Linked DNA regions of Arabidopsis thaliana. The protein of the gene in region 1 interacts with the protein of each later gene in a pairwise test. Each region holds a gene or a part of one and is shown in the gene's direction. Other genes may lie near its edges.

Region 1 (6,022 bases):
CGTACCGGCAACATCAAGAGGTTGGAGTGATTTGGTTTGGTCTAGAGGGGTTCTCTATGTTGATAATCAAAGAATTGAGAGTAAGAATACTTAATCAGATGTATATCTTACAATTTTACCTTGAAACACAAATACGTATCTTATAGACACTTGAGAGATAATCTTGTCAATATATGCAAGTGTTACGAGTGTTTAATCAGATGGTTTATCACTATCTGGATATCATGGAAGAACTAGGTGAGTATGAGTATATATGGTTTCCTTTGACAAGATCCTGGTAAGGGAGAGACCAAGCCGCCTAAAAGTTTGGTTTCAATTGAGTCCAAGGATCGAAATTGTAGGGTATGTCTTAAGTACATCCACCAGATATATCAGAAATTTTACATCTTTACATTGTATGTTTAAAACAATTGCCTACTCCCCTTTGAGTCAATTTGGATTCTAAAGAAAAGGTGGAACACAAAAATGGTTCCCTCGGAACGAGTGTTGCAACACGAAAATATAGAGATCATTTCTAACACCAGTTCTACTGAATGTTTTAGGAGAAGGTAAAGCTGACAAATACTATGCTCACTCAATTGGACATAGCTGATTCTTCTCGACACATTAAAACAAATTCCATCTAAGAGAGTATGAATTGCGGATAAATCTCTCTCTAATTTCCGTGACACAGCAAATACTATCAGGAAAAGTAAGTGCAGTTCTGGGATTGACAGTAGAAGACGAACCTGAAGCCAAGATCCCATGTCCCTACTTATCTATGCCACCTAATCAGGGAACATACCAACACCGAGCAAACCACTAAATACTAATCACTCTTTCATTAGACTATGCCTAAGTTTCCAACAGCTCTAAAACCAACTCAAAATTCTACTCTACCTACATGGAGCCATACTTTAAGCAAATCTAATGCCAATCATTCCTAAAACTTGGGACCTTTAAGTATAATCCAAGCAAGAAGTCAGCACATCTTCATAGCCTCACACCGGGAAAGTAAATAGCAAAATAAACATGAAATAGGAAGCATATAAACCTCTTCTGCATTAGTACAGAAGCATATCATCCGCAACATCAATTCCAATACTCTCACAAATCTAATGTCCAGGAACAAACTATGTCAAAAGACATATCGACCAAATTGTATAAATAATTCTTAAGTAAGAACCTTAAAGATCAAGTGACAGATACAAACATTGAATCAAATTTCTTAAACACCTTTCTAAATTTATCCAAAAAAGCCTTTACACACCGTGCTATTCCCACCCAATTCAACCTCACATCAAAGAACTTATATTGCAGCCTTTTTTTGCTACTTGCTAACACAGCATCGGAAGTGATTCACGATCTATCAATATGGAATCAAAATATAACAAGAAGAGAGAAGAGAGTATAGATCAAGAAACAAGCGTACGCGATCAAGCCACGGTGCTCTTCTCCACCATCAGCAAGAGATACCACCAATGTAGAGCAGGCTCTAGTGGACCACAACACAAACAAAGCCGCAAGCACAAACCGAACCGGCCCTGCTCCCTGGGGAACGAACAATGACACCGCCGATAAAACCACCACCGGAAGCAAACAGTATCCGACCAAGCTCGTACACGTATGGAGATTAAGGTTCCCATTTCTACCAGCAAGCATGTTAAAGACGACGTATAGAAAGATAGAGGAGACGACGATCCATCCAAGTATGACACCGAACTGGATCTTACCAGCTAACAACTGAAATAAGCAAAGCGCAAGGTACAGAAAGATCGGACCAGATAGATCTGAATCTTTGTGAACAGCTTGGTTAATCCGAAAAGGATTGAGAATCGATCTAGTCTTCTTCCAGATTTGATCTGGATGGATACCGAGCTCGTCGAGTAATGGCTCCTCATCTTCAAACGAAGCTGAACCTCCACCAAAAGAAGAAGAGGAAGCGATTGTCCCGCCGAATGGTCCGGCAGGTGTAGCGGAAGACGCGGCTGCGGATCCAATGTCGAATGACATGAAAGGGATTGCGGAAGAAGAGGGACGCGGCGGTTGAAACGGTGTCGCTGGGAATCTTCGTTGCTGGACATTAGCACCGCCTGAAGATCCACCGGAGGGGAAAACTACAGGTGGAACTGCGAAATCCTTCGTCATCTTCTTTCCGAAATTGAGATCTCACCAAATCAGCAAAGAGATTCGAAATTAGGGTTTCAAGTTTGGATCAATGAGATGAATTTTTTAACCCAATTCACACGTTCGTGACGTTTCAGAGAAAATTCCTTTCTTTTTTTTGTTCTCTTCTTCTTCTTGACAGTGAAGAGACAACTTTAGAAGAAGGCATCTGAGGGTAGTTTCGTCATTCCGTCTAGTTAATGACGAAATATAACCAATAGGCTTCTTCGAAACTGGCATGGTGACGTATATCTTCTGATGATATTACCGTTATACCCTCTTTTATAAACGAAATTGGCCCAATGGGTCTGTTCGGCCCAGTAGTCATCCGTTTTAGTCTATAACGTGGCACGATGTAATTGGTTAAAGATTAGAAGACCGCCGGACTAAGATTTAACCAGCGGTGACTTCGACACTTATTAGCCGGTATATTTCTTCGCCGGAGCTTCCTCAACGATTATGGCCACCGATGGCGAGAGTATCTCGATGTCGTTGGCGGTGGCTACCTGCGTCGCGATGGCACTATTCTACGTTTTGATCCTTTACGTTCCCACCGTGATACTCCGTCTCCCGTCGGCTTCTTCTTACACCGAATTCATGATTCGGCGATTCATCTGCGCGGCCATTTGTACTGTAGCATCTCTCGTCTTCACAGCTTTTATACTTCCGGTAAGCTTCTTTGAGTACCGCCATTTCTCGATTTGAAGTTCATTCTCCGTTGATCTGTAACCAAATTAGGTCCAAATCTAGATGCATTTGGTGTTTTGATGAAAGTTAAACTAAAAGTAAAGAAATTTGATGTATTTGTAACTTTGTTGAGAGTTGAATTAGCTTTTACTAGTTGTTGTAGGTTCACACAATTTGTCTCTAAGAATGTAACACTCAAATATTGGTGACTATGTTGTGTTTGGTACAATTCAACGCTAGTTACAGGAATCTCTGAAACTTGTCTTCCTTTTTTGCTTGAGTAATGTTAGATAAAAAGCTGGGAGGCCTCTTATATACTTGGAGTTTATGGCATAAGGAAAGATCATCTGGTAAGTTCTTTGTCTCAATTTGTTTACTCGTAGCTTATTGTACACTATTCATATTAAAATGGTTATGTTTTGTGATATGGAACAGTGGCAAGGAGTGGTGTATCCTCTTCTATTGACCTCGCTCGTTTATGCTGGGTCTTTGGTGTTGAAGTTGTTTACTCTCCTGGAATCATGGAAGGAAAATGGCGGAGGATGTAGTTCCTTTAATTACATCAGAAGCTTTTTCCAAACAATCCCTGCTTCGGTATTGACAAGTGCTTCTAATGTTTCCGTTTGGCGCAATTTTATCGTGGTAATCATATGTTTGCCATCTCTGTGTGCTTATCTTGTCAATTCTTTATTGAAATTGCATAAGGCATTGCTTGCTAATTGTCTGAGGACTATATGCATCAGTTTGGTGTATAAGTAAGTTCTAAATCGAACAAGTTATAATCTGTTAGAGCTGGCGTTTCTTATGATTTGCAGGCACCAGTAACTGAGGAGCTGGTTTTCCGATCATGTATGATACCTTTGCTTCTGTGTGCTGGGTTTAGGATTAACACTGCCATCTTTCTGTGCCCAGTTCTCTTTAGCTTGGGTTTGTTTCTTTCTCTCTCTCTCTCTCTCTGTGAATAACAGTTTACAACTCGAGTGAAAAGAAAATTACTGGATTTGTCTGACTTTTATATGTTTTGTGTAGCTCACTTAAACCATTTTAGAGAGATGTACATCAGGCATAACCGCAGCTATCTCCGGGCTTCACTTATTGTTGGTATGTCTTTGCCATCCATAATCATAATAATATTGTTTGTTGATCAGTCCTGAGCTTCACTTGTCCGTTGATCAGGTCTTCAGCTTGGCTACACAGTCATTTTTGGTGCATATGCATCGTTTCTCTTCATCAGAACCGGTAACATTCCAGGCATTTATATATCTTATACATGTAAAAGCCTTTCTAATGGATGATTGTCTCCTGCATTGTGTAAATTTTACAGGACATCTTGCTGCTCCTTTGTTTGCTCATATATTTTGCAACTACATGGGATTGCCTGTGCTATACGCAAATGGAAAAGGTAAGACATAAAGTTCAAGGTTGTTAACAAATGCAAATGCAAAAGAATAAGCTAAACATGGTTATGGTTCTTCTCTCAGGTTTGGTGAGTGCAGCGTTCTTAGGCGGTGTGGTTGGGTTCGTCTTACTTCTCTTTCCTTTAACAAAGCCTCTCATGTACAACGATAGTACCAACGATTGTCCGTGTTGGCTTGGCTATTGTTTGTGGAATTGACACTTCTCCAAGTTTTTTTTTATATATCATCATGTCTTAGAATCTATTTTTTGACACAATATTGGAATTATGGTCTTTTACTGCAAGCTAATGTTTCTTGATAGTTTATGTAGTTTTTTCCTTGTAAATATATAATAATAATAATAATTGGTTCAAGTCTCCAAAATTAGTGTTGGCTAATTGTCCATTTTTTTCCGGTATTATCCCTAATGATTCTCTTGCTATCCTAGGAGGGACAGGAAGAAGGATGATCTACATCCCCAAGTCTAACCTAAACTATATTGTCCAATGTCAACACGCCAAAATTCATTTGATTTATATATAAAAATAGAGAAACAATGATTAGAAATTGAACATAGGTCCATAATCTTACATCAGAGATTCAGAAGATGATGTCTTGCTTGATGATCATCCAAAGAGATTTTGGGGGTAATCATCAAACGGATATAATTTTCTGAAAATTATATTTCAAAGTTGACTTTCAAAGTCTGAGTTTATGATGATGATTTTCACTTAGGAGTTACGAAAATTATGTTTCTAGGATTCGTAGGTCTCTCAGTAATTTTCTCACCACCACTTGATTACTATGTCATATTCCTACGAAATTTGAAGCTTGGATAGTTGAATTTATGGTCAATAAATTATCTGTACACTACACATATATTGTGTTTGTGTGAAGTAAACGGTGATTTAACGGGAGAGGATCTCTTCATAAAGAAGATGTGGTTGATTATGCTTGCATATAACAGAATTTGTTGAACCGGAAAATCATCCTCGACAAAACCAATATGCAGTAATCTACTCTAAAATGTATTTTACCCAAACTATACACTACTACTATCTAGTGAGATTCATTACTATTGTTTATGTGGATAGTTTTAAAAAGATGAAGACCAATACTATTATGATCTATTCATAAATCCTATTCTTATTTTATAGTTGTAAGTTGAGCTTTTATAATAGAGAGCATAAATATTGCTGGTATTTGAACTAATACAAACCGTTAAAAAAAGGGAACTAATACAAAAAGAAAAATCAACTAAATTTTCACTAATACTAAAAATTTGCAAAATTATGTTAATTTACGTTTATTTATTTATATTATAAATAAGTGAGTAAAATTCAAAATATTTATTTACCTTACATTTTAAATTTATCATCGCAAAATACACCACAAAATTTCATTAAGAAATATTTGTTTTTTTGTAAAGGAGGTAATAAATGACGTTTTAATATGATACAGTCAATAGGATACAACTTTGATCACGTGATTTAAAATTGGTGGTAAACCTATGTTCTCCTAAACACTTTTTCGTATCTTCTGATATCCTTATGGACCTTATCACTACTTTATCCATATATAAATTTCAATAATTAAAAGAAAACAACCACTTTACAAATTTGTTAATATCAATTACATGGTACCTTGAAAATAAATCTGGTCGAGATTAGAAAACTCTTAACTAACATAACTGAATAATAAAAGTCACATTTTCCAATCTTATTGTTCACAATTTGTTATTTCAAGACCATGAAATTTATAAAAGATAAAGGAAAATGTAGAACCCAATAATA
Region 2 (5,951 bases), on another chromosome or scaffold:
ATTTGATTTATTTTGTTCTTCTACATTTCGATTTAAATATTATAACGCTAGTGCTACTGTGCTATATATGGATTAACAAGCTCTTAGAGCATTTACATTGGTGGGCTCTTGATATAATTTTTAGAGATATTAAAATTTAAATTTAATATTTAATTGGTAAAATAGTTAAGATTTGACTCTTATATAAGAGACAAAATACACTTTTAAAAAATTTTTTTTTATTAAAACTCTTAATTTCAAAATAAATTATAAAATTATTGTTAAAAATATTTGCTAAAAGCTCACCAATGTGGTTGCTCTTAGGTTACCGACTAGGATATTGGTTCTCTCGACCAAGTATCTTGATTTTTGTGTGTGGTTTCATGCTCTCCAGTCTCCAATAAGATAATGACTAAATATACAACTTTTTCTTAAAACATAATTAATAAGAAAGAAAGAGTAACGAAAAATAGAAATTAACCTCATACATAATAATTGTGATATACGTATACCCTAGTCATGTCTCGAAAGCTCGTTATTGTAAAAAAAGTAGAAACACTCTCTTTAGACCAGAGTCTTTAGAAGATAAGATACTTTTTTAACGTGAAACCAAAACCCTTCTTTCCATAAACTCGTCTCAAATTTTTTGGTTTATTAGGTTTTGGAAATATCTGAGAGTGCTCTGCTCGTACGTTGATTGTGAACTTGATCTCAACTTAATTTGCTTTCTATGAATGCGATTTCGTGTTAACTGGTCTAGAAATTTCTACGACTCATGTTGCAGAACGCGGTTTAATTTTGATTTGTTTTCTTAGACCTTAGCTAATAAATACCGTGTCTTTGTCTCTTTGTTCTGTTGATCAATTTAGGGACCAATGGAAGATTTGATAAGCCAATTGCCCAATGAGTTGCTGCAAGAGATACTCTTGAATCTTCCCACGAGTGAGTCTGTTAGGACAAGTGTCTTACCGACAAGATGGAGAAATCTCTGGCAAAGTGTTCCTGGTTTGTACCTAATTTCTCGACAGATTCTTAAATTTGTAAACTTGCGGTTAGAATATGTAATTCTGGATGATTTTGATAGTTGTGAGTCTTTCTATCTACCTCACCTTGAGGTTATGCATTTAGGGTTTCGCAGTACACCGAGTGATGTGGTTCTAGAGATGCTTATCTCGTGCTCTCCTGTTCTTCAAGTCTTGAGCATTTGTGATGTTGGAGTTGACTTTTTGAAAGTGCGATCTCAGACGTTAAGGAGCTTGAGTCTATGGACATTTATCTTTAAGGGAGAAAATGATGATGTCTCCTTGGGTGATGATGGAGAATCTGGACTTGTGATTGACACTCCTAGCTTAGAGTTTCTGCGTATCAGAGATTTTCCATTGGAAGACTTCAGAGTGGAAAGTGTTATTTCTTCTATCAAGATGTGTATCGATGTACGGTTTTATGGGGAGATGACTTTTCAAACACGCAAACTTTGCACAAGTTTTTTGCTGAGTTCTCGGAGGTCACAGATCTTAGCATCTCTGGCCATACTCTAGATGCATGTATTTGTTCTTACCAAGTGTTGGTTCTTGACAGGGAACCTATGCTTACACAAAACTGCAACAACTGCCTGAATTCAAGAACTTGACCCGTTTGTACGCTTTTCTCCATACCGACTATTCAGAGATGTTGCCTATATATCTCTCCAGCAGTCCCAACCTAAAATCTATTGACTTGGTAATGATTCCTTCTCTTGGTATTGAGAGTAGCGAGTGACTATATATATTATACATGTCTTATGGTGTTTTCCTTTGTAGGAGCTTCATGGTTATCCAAAGATGGAGGAAATTGCAAGCTCACCAGTGCCAAAATGTCTCCAAACATCCATTGAGAATGTCAAAATAAAAATGACGCCCAAGGCTGACCAAGAGAAAAGCCGAAAAGCTGAAACCGAGGTTGCTAACTACATCTTAGAGAATGCAACACTTCTGAAGCTCACTCTATGGTTAGATGATGAAGAAGAAGACGAGTCTAGCAGCGTCCTTGAGAAAATTCTCACCTTTCAAAATTACTCTTTTGTAGAGGTGAAGATAGGTCGAGAAGCATCGAAATTTCGCCTAGGTTATACATTTGATGAAGCTAAGCACTTTAGTCGTCGTTTTCTTTAAATCTCTTATGATCAATCTAATTAGCCCTTTTGGTCGTGGTCAGGATTTAAAGAAAGTTGTTTCTATCACTTGAAAATTCTCCACTAACTTGATGAGAATATGTGTGATGGAATCGATCTAGCGAACATATACTAATCAAAAGGACATGCCTAAAATGGGACCCTCTTTGCACAAAAGAAGTTTCAAGATATTATTATACCCACAAAACCAAATCTTCTTTAATCATGTCTAAATCATTTTAGGCACTCTTAACAAAACAATAATGTTATCATCCAATTTGTCTACACTTTGGTATTGATTCGTTACAAGTGAATGTTCTAGACCACGTTTGTTGATCTATTATGTAGTTTTGTATTCATCCTAGCTACATTTATATATATCCACTTATTTCTTAACTACGGTATGCATTATACATGTTTGTATTAATGTCGCCGATAAAAGTTTCGGACCCATAGTGATGAATAATCATTCTCGATTATTATTGTTAAATAAAACACTACAAGGAATAAGATAGATCAAAAACGAAAGCTCCTTTGAAAACAATCTCAAAGAACAAGAAAATATGAGAAGACTCTTTCTCTTCTCTCTCCTCTTTTTATTCTTTTACTCATCCTCCTCCTCAAGATCTTCATCAGAATCTCACATCTTCATCTACGGAGGATGTTCACCGGAAAAATACACACCAAACACACCTTTTGAGTCAAACCGCGACACTTTCCTCTCCTCTGTCGTCACTTCCTCCTCTGACGCGTCCTTCAACAGCTTTGCCGTCGGCAACGACTCCTCCTCCTCCTCATCCTCTTCCGCCGTCTTCGGCCTCTATCAATGCCGTGACGATCTCCGATCATCAGACTGCTCAAAATGCATCCAAACCTCAGTCGATCAAATCACTCTCATTTGTCCTTACTCTTACGGCGCTTCTCTCCAGCTCGAAGGCTGCTTCTTACGTTACGAAACAAACGATTTTCTAGGGAAACCAGACACAAGTCTTAGGTACAAGAAGTGTAGTTCCAAGAGCGTTGAGAATGACTACGATTTCTTTAAGCGGAGAGACGATGTGTTGTCGGATCTTGAGTCGACTCAACTCGGTTACAAAGTTAGCCGGTCCGGTTTAGTCGAAGGTTATGCTCAGTGTGTTGGTGACTTGAGTCCTAGTGACTGTACGGCTTGTCTTGCCGAGTCTGTCGGAAAATTAAAGAATCTTTGTGGCTCGGCGGTTGCAGCTGAGGTTTACTTGGCTCAGTGCTATGCTCGTTATTGGGGCTCTGGTTACTATGACTTCTCTTCAGGTCAGTCCATAAATTAAAATCTTTATTTCATTTATTAGCTATTGCTCTAATTTACGTAAGTTCTTTAATTATATTCGTGAATCATGCTTAGTGCCATGATAATATAATTGAAAATTGTAGTAATGAACTGTATAGAAATGTGTGAGAATTTGACAAAATTTAAATTTCCGCCGCTTATAATTGAGAAAATCACAAGTCTAGTCGCTCCTTGGTAGCACGAGAAAGTTGAAGAAATCATAAAATTTTCGTTGCTTTTTTTTTTTTGTAATTTCCACTGGAAAGACACCATTAAGTATTGAATAAAATAGAATTAATCTTTTGAATCATTCGTTGGAAAATTCGAGTATCATGATTATAATATCATTGGTCAGAAAAGAATGTTTTTGCAATATATTATTCTTTTCTTTATAGGCATAGCCACCCATGTCCCCATTTTCAACTTTATTTTATATATTCTTTATAGCTTGATCAATATCACATAGTCCAAAAGTCATTGCATCTTAGAAAATCTAATTCTTAGCTTGATACTATATTGTCCTTATCTTATGTACTTTAATTTGTCACATACAATATTAAGATCTTTTTAAATTTGATCTAATTTTCGTTATTAAGATCCAACGAATGGAGATCACGTGGGGAAATCAATCGCGATCATCGTAGGAGTCATTGCTGGATTCGCAATTCTTGTTGTTCTCCTCTCCCTTTGTAGAAACTCCATGCGTAAGTCTATACTTACTTGCCTAATCTTCACATGATTAAGATTTAAGATCAAATCACTCATTTTTAGTATATATTTAGAAATAAGTATCATGATCTCATAATTTTTCTTATCTGATTTGCAGATTGATATAATGAAAGGCATGATTCGGGATACAAGATTCTAGGGACCTGTTTTTTTTTTTTTGAACTCTCTTGTATTCCACTATTCCTTTTATTTTGTAGGAGGAACACATCCGTTACCGTTCCTTGCTGAAATTTTTGGTTTATCAAAAGGAAAACTATTAGTGACTGATGATATAATGATTTTTAGCTTTGAGGTATTAAATATTTGTATAGTGTGACCCGTATTGTCTGCCTTAAAAAGATGCTAACTTTATTCCATTAACTAGTTTTAGACTAAAATCCACTTTCCTTAGCAGGCGCAATTATTCGATACTCATACTTAGATAAGTAGATTATCATTTCCGGAGAACAACGTGATTCGATCGATTGAGTATCATTAAACTTTAAAAGGTTCTGCCGGCAAAAAAAAAAAAGAAGAAGGCTTATAAGACTTGAGAGGTTCCATTCAATCAATTCTTTGGTTTTCTACGATCCGGATCTACCCGGTTCTCATGGGTTTCACCACATATTCCATTGAGCCATTAAATTATTATGGACTGGGCCTCGGCCTACTAAGCTTCTAAGCCGTGTAACATATCTAAAAGACTAAAACATTTTCCATGCAACCATTCCTTTTTTTTTGTATTTTTTTAAAAATTAATTCAAGAAATTCTTTTACCAAAAACATATAAACCCATGACAAAAATAGTAATTTTCACTAATGTTACAACATATTACTCCAACAAAATTATTACTTTATATATTATTCTATTAAAATATAACTGATCATTCATGGATTTTGTTTTCTTTTCTTTTTGACTCCAAATCCTGAAAATTTCTTTTATTTATATATATATATATATATATATATATATATATATATATATCTTATCCATCGTAAATTCGTAATAATGGGATTATGATTATATATCACTATACCAGTATATAAAAATTTAGGTTTAATCCAGTATATATAGTAGTCTCTCAGCTCTTGAAGATAATAAACTTATGATGAAGAAGAACAACTTAAGGTTGTGTTCTTGACACATAGACGTATACGTTTACTCACTTTGATACAGAGCGTTGCACTAATTTACAACCTGAAATGTATAACGTAATTAATGAAGTTAGTCTCATATGCATGGGCCATCAATAATCATATAAACAAAAGCTTACACATACTCTCACACGTGCCTTATCTCTCTCTCCATCTGTTAGATTCCTCGCCACCATCTTCATCTACATTTCTACGACAAGTTCCATTCTTCGTTTGCTGTTAAATACACAACAACATCAATAATTATTTACTTAAAACGCATTTCAAGAAAATTACTAAACACTACAACAATCTTATAATAACATTTACTAAAAATGTCCACGTTTGTAAAAGTCACCGACTTAATCACTATCATGTTCTTTCTAGCCATTGCTGCCGTCATAACCGCCTCAAACACAGCCGAGTTGGATGTACTTGAAATGGCTAGAACTGCTGTGGTTGAAGCCAAGACTAGTTTTGGGTCAATGGCTGTGACTGAGGCAACTAGTGAAGTTGCTGGTAGTTATTATAAATTGGGGTTAAGTGAATGCGAGAAGCTCTACGATGAGAGTGAAGCTAGGCTATCGAAACTGGTCGTAGATCATGAGAATTTCACCGTTGAAGATGTTAGAACGTGGCTAAGTGGCGTGCTTGCGAATCATCACACTTGTTTAG
Region 3 (5,096 bases), on another chromosome or scaffold:
ACAGATTGCATCAATGAAGATGATCATACATAAGGGGAATGGAAACGAACCATCTTTGGCTAAGTCATGCTCATTAGGAATATGACCAACATGAATATAAAAGGAGACAGTTTCAGGAGTAGAATAAGGATTGTGGAAACAAAATTTGTACATTCCACTTTTTGGAGCCTTAAACTCAAACTTATCTCCAGATGTTCCCTTTAAAGTCTGTACAATGTTCCCAGCTGGTGACGTCACCTACACAAACACAATCCAATGAATCAATCAACACATTAACCCTAACCAAAATCCAATCCAATCCAATCAAAGATAGCAAATTTCCACAATCCCAACCAAACCCTAAATTGTCACATCCTTACAAAGATCAGATCAGGTCAAAATTAAGCATGAGAAACACCAATTTCACGATAAATCAAACATTGGGATTATCGAAGGAAACGTATCAAAGTTAAGAACTTTTGGGGTAAAAAGGTAAATTGAAAGATCGCTAACCGTGAAATCCAAACCAGGATGATCGGATCCCCAGAAGATATCATGATCGACGACGACGAAGTTACCGGAAACAGTGTCGCCTTCGTAAAGGACGTACTCTTGGACACATTCTTCGTCGTTCACCGTTACAGAGAGAGATGAGATTTGATTGATTGAATTCAATAGAATTAGACCTATCAATACAAAGACATGGATCTTCGCTTGTCGTCTCTCCATCTTTTTTTTTAGATCTTCTTCGATCAAAAAAATTCAGTTTGTTTTCTCGAGAGAATTCGCCGAGTAGAGGAAGAAGAAGAAGACAAAGAGGATTTTATTGCGACTTAGATTACCAAACCGGAAATTAAAACCGGTTTATGACGACACGGGGAGATTTTATTGGTCAACGGCTTTTGGTCATTAAAGAGAGTTAGAGAAAAATATTACTAATTTTAATGTAAGTAAAATACGATCTAAATTATGATTAAATTGATAAAATTTTACTTCAAAAAGTGTTTCAGTGATGTTTGTTTTTACAAAAAATTTTTGATTTTTGTATATATATTGGTTAATGACTTAATGTACGTTTTGGAAGTTTTTTTTATCTACGCCATTGATATGTGTTAAAAAGAATTGACTGTTATGTATGCATAATAATGTCAAGGTAGTTTTTATTTATTTGGTCAATAATGTCAAAGTACTTATATTCTAAGAAATCATTATTTCCGGGAACAAAATCTAAAGAATCATATGTTTTCTTCTTTGTGTTACCATGTAAAAGTGAATCCTTCCAAATTTCCTTAGGTTGAGAATGACAATTCTTCTTTCATATGTTATCAAAGACTAAAATGATCAGAATGTCAATTTGCAGATTTGGTCAACACTACATTAGAAACGAACATATATGAGCGAAAGACATGATTTGGTTAGGGAAGCTAGAGTTGATGGGCCTAATGAGCCCTATACGGCCCGTTATGAGATACGTATGACTGTAAGAGTAAATAGTCTTTTTTTTCTTAACAGTAAATAATCTTTATCTCCATTTAATTGTAAAGTTATTGACATTTTGAAACGACCGTAAATATTACCAAAAAACTGACGGAGTTAGGATCGGCCACGTAGAAAGGGACAAAGAGAGAACAGTCACGGACTCGGCCAGACTAAGTATGGGCCTGTCTGAATCCAAACTCAGCTAAGTTCCAAAAGCATAAAGAGAGATGTGTAATGAAATGAACGTATTCTAGAAACGAAAGCAATGTTATGCTTTGTTTTTGAGCCACATGTTTTTGGGAGATGGAGAGAATCTTTTTTACGTTTTTAACCTAACCCACTTGGCACTTGGCCAAAAAAGTGAGAAGAAACTGTGGCGAATGAGTAGGCCACGCCATGGACTTTGTTCCTTGTCCTTCAAAAGTTAAATTTATGTTATGCGTGGGGACAATCTAAGCAACGTGGTTCCTTTAAATATCGCAGCTTCCTCTTTTACACTTTTGGAGCCTACGTGTTTTGTTTTGGACCGGCCAAATACACGAGTCAGTCAGTTTAGAAATAATTTGGATGTCCAAAAATCTTGGAGATCCAAATAAAATAATTAGCATGTTTTAGTTCATAAGAATATGAAATGTAGATAAACTGTCCATATTAATTTTTCCATAGAATTGGCTTTTTATCGAGGTGATGTACTTAATGACTTTGTTGATTACTACTCGTATAACAATAAAGAATATGATACTATGTGAGACTTATAATGAATTTGGTGTGTGTTAATTAATCCAGTTGAAACAGTTTAATAACAAATCAGAATAAAAATTGTAGTAAGAAAATTTGAACGCTGATCCTTCAACCTAGATAGTGAACCTTTCAAATACTATATGATTCACGTGTAATGTTTTTGACCGTTGGTTATTTTTGTGTGAACTATATTAACTTATCAATATCGAAAGGCTAAATAAGTAAATAACTAAAAGAAAGTTCAGGAAACAACTCGACCTAATGACCTATCATTTCTGATCACCCGTCCTATAAATACATACGTAAGATCATTCGTTACTCATATCAAGCTTCTACACACGATCTAGCTTAAAGTTCTGTAACCTAAGCGATAATCACTTAGCTACTCCAAGTTTCTTCTTAATTTCTCTCACACTAGTAGTTCTAAGCTTTAGAAATGGCAACAGCATCGTTCAACATGCAATCAGTCTTCGCCGGTGGATTAACCACTCGCAAGATCAACACCAACAAGCTTTTCTCCGCCGGTAGCTTCCCTAACCTCAAGAGGAATTATCCGGTGGGAGTGAGATGCATGGCTGAGGTACGTTATTCTCCACTTCCCTGATACAACGGCCATTCATCATGTGACTATGAAATCCTGACCGTCTGATTATTTGACTTTTTCAGGGAGGACCCACGAATGAAGACTCTTCACCAGCACCATCTACCTCGGCCGCTCAGCCGTTGCCGAAGTCACCATCTCCTCCTCCTCCTATGAAACCTAAGGTATAATTTTAGAAGTTTTGATAAACAAGAATTTGTATTTTAATTAATCGGGTCTTAGATATTAAGAACATACAATCTTGAAAATTCATTAAACAAGCTTTATTTGTGAATCTTTGTTAATAACTTTTGGGGTGGTGAATATAGGTGAGCACAAAGTTTAGCGACTTGCTAGCGTTTAGCGGTCCAGCACCAGAGAGGATTAACGGACGTTTAGCGATGGTTGGATTCGTTGCGGCGTTGGCTGTCGAGCTATCCAAGGGTGAAAACGTTTTAGCTCAGATCTCCGACGGTGGCGTCTCATGGTTCCTCGGTACAACAGCGATCTTGACACTTGCGTCGCTTGTGCCGCTTTTCAAGGGCATAAGCGTTGAGTCCAAGTCCAAAGGTATCATGACGTCAGACGCTGAGCTTTGGAACGGACGTTTCGCGATGCTCGGTTTGGTCGCGTTGGCGTTCACTGAGTTCGTCAAAGGTGGGACACTCGTCTAAGGAAAAGAGAGCACGTTATGGGGAGGATGTTTTAATACGATTTTGCCCATGTAATTTCTCTGTAAAGTAATCTGTGTTAGGCCTACTGTGTGTTTTATACATGTGTACTAAGTGACATTTTGAAACTTCGGGTTAAAAACACTTTAAAATTAGTGGTGTTCTATAAAGCTCTACGCCTTCCAAAAACTTTCAGAAATTATAACCATACAATATGTGACTTACAAGGCCAAATTATATTAATGGCCTGTCATCATAATTGCGAACCTAACAAATAACAATACACGATTTCACCTACTATCGAGTTTTACATTTAATGCTCATCTTATAAAAAGAAAAAAAGAAAAAAAATGTTAAGAAAATTCACATCTTTCATTTGCCGACGAAACAAGTGGTGAGTGATCCACTATAGATGATATATAATTCGAACAAATGGTGGATTCAGAAAAGTCTTAGTTAAAAATAAAATCAATATCATTAAGCGTAACTACTAAAATAAAAATACACAAAATATCAAAGAATCTTCAAACTGAATGAATCTCAAATCTTAATGCTGGGGAAGATAATAAATTTACCAACTCTAATTGCCATTTGAATAGATCATATACCGATAGATCTTATATATGTTTAGACATCACTTAAATATCAAGCAAAAAAAAAATTAGTGTATGAAAATCTAAGAATATTTTATCCTGAATACATAAAAAAAAAGGTATATGTAAACACAAACATAATTTACGTTTGAAATAATAAAATACTTTTTCGGTCATCGGAAAAACAGTACATAGAGAGAGGACCAGTGGACAGTGATTAACATTTAAAAAGAAACGAGCATGCGTGAAGTAAAGTAAATGGGCCATATTCCAAATAATTGGGCCAATGGCTTCATTGGAGATCCCTCATTTCCTAAGTCCAGTTAGAAAATATTGATTCTTTACATGTATGCAGGGAAAATAGCTTCCATTGGTTTAGTTATGGATTGTTCTCTTTTGTATAACAATTCTCTTACTAAATGACTTAAGATTATTTTGTTTATACGTTTCACGTGAGATCATAAAAGAGTTTGTTATCAGTAGAATTTATAAGTAATCAAAAGAAAAGTGTGAATCTTATATGGGCAAAATTCAATAAAAAGCCTCTAAAAATGTTATCTAGCAATGAAGTGACTCAGTGAGTCATGAAAAAAAACAGCAGAGCACGTGTATACGCAAATCTTAAATCAACAGACAGAATTTACGTGACTCCCACTTACCAATGTCGTTTGCTTTCTTTTTTTCTTTTTGTCCATTCCTTCTTTCTGCTATTGTTTTTTTTTTTTTTCTTTTTCAAAGGATTTTATAAGTATATTAATAGATTCATGATCTAGTAGTGTATATAACTAGATTTTATTCTCTTAACTAGGTTAATTTATTCATATTTATTACTATTCTAAATGTATGTGGTTCACTATTATACTTTCTATACGTATTAGGGTTTATTTTGTAGATTACCTTTTTTGGAAGGTTTACTCTACACAACAATAAGATTCGATGACAAACATGTAATAAGAGTTTTTTGGCGTGTGATTTAATTAACTAGTATGATATCATGTAATTAAAAAACATATGTGAAATCTAATAATCTATGTTTCAAAAAACTATACCCAA

Evidence for each region. The genes of interacting proteins can lie anywhere in the genome.
Region 2: the proteins of FACE2 (region 1) and PDLP8 interact in a protein complementation assay, tested with the Arabidopsis thaliana proteins (one large-scale study listed by BioGRID).
Region 3: the proteins of FACE2 (region 1) and ELIP1 interact in a protein complementation assay, tested with the Arabidopsis thaliana proteins (one large-scale study listed by BioGRID).

What each region holds. Positions count from the first base shown.
Region 1 is NC_003071.7:15,212,003-15,218,024, forward strand, and holds FACE2 (farnesylated protein-converting enzyme 2), read left to right. Parts: upstream 1-2,383; 5' UTR 2,384-2,604; coding exon 2,605-2,814; intron 2,815-3,122; coding exon 3,123-3,182; intron 3,183-3,267; coding exon 3,268-3,474; intron 3,475-3,647; coding exon 3,648-3,759; intron 3,760-3,861; coding exon 3,862-3,933; intron 3,934-4,008; coding exon 4,009-4,071; coding exon of another isoform or gene 4,072-4,127; exon of another isoform or gene 4,128-4,156; coding exon 4,157-4,234; intron 4,235-4,313; coding exon 4,314-4,447; 3' UTR 4,448-4,611; downstream 4,612-6,022. Other genes in the region: AT2G36295 (uncharacterized protein), read left to right, coding at 1-94; AT2G36300 (Integral membrane Yip1 family protein), read right to left, coding at 1,360-2,127. UniProt on the Arabidopsis thaliana protein: Protease involved in the processing of a variety of prenylated proteins containing the C-terminal CAAX motif, where C is a cysteine modified with an isoprenoid lipid, A is an aliphatic amino acid and X is any C-terminal amino acid.
Region 2 is NC_003074.8:22,439,344-22,445,294, forward strand, and holds PDLP8 (plasmodesmata-located protein 8), read left to right. Parts: upstream 1-2,427; 5' UTR 2,428-2,691; coding exon 2,692-3,418; coding exon of another isoform or gene 3,419-3,435; exon of another isoform or gene 3,436-4,030; coding exon 4,031-4,173; 3' UTR 4,174-4,260; coding exon of another isoform or gene 4,261-4,265; 3' UTR 4,266-4,531; downstream 4,532-5,951. Other genes in the region: AT3G60710 (F-box family protein), read left to right, coding at 855-1,030, 1,118-1,412, 1,558-1,698, 1,779-2,129; AT3G60730 (Plant invertase/pectin methylesterase inhibitor superfamily), read left to right, coding at 5,612-5,951. UniProt on the Arabidopsis thaliana protein: Modulates cell-to-cell trafficking.
Region 3 is NC_003074.8:8,082,985-8,088,080, reverse strand, and holds ELIP1 (Chlorophyll A-B binding family protein), read left to right. Parts: upstream 1-2,411; 5' UTR 2,412-2,635; coding exon 2,636-2,779; intron 2,780-2,865; coding exon 2,866-2,964; intron 2,965-3,108; coding exon 3,109-3,453; 3' UTR 3,454-3,676; downstream 3,677-5,096. Other genes in the region: AT3G22845 (emp24/gp25L/p24 family/GOLD family protein), read right to left, coding at 51-237, 493-708. UniProt on the Arabidopsis thaliana protein: Prevents excess accumulation of free chlorophyll by inhibiting the entire chlorophyll biosynthesis pathway (e.g. 5-aminolevulinate synthesis and Mg-protoporphyrin IX chelatase activity), and hence prevent photooxidative stress.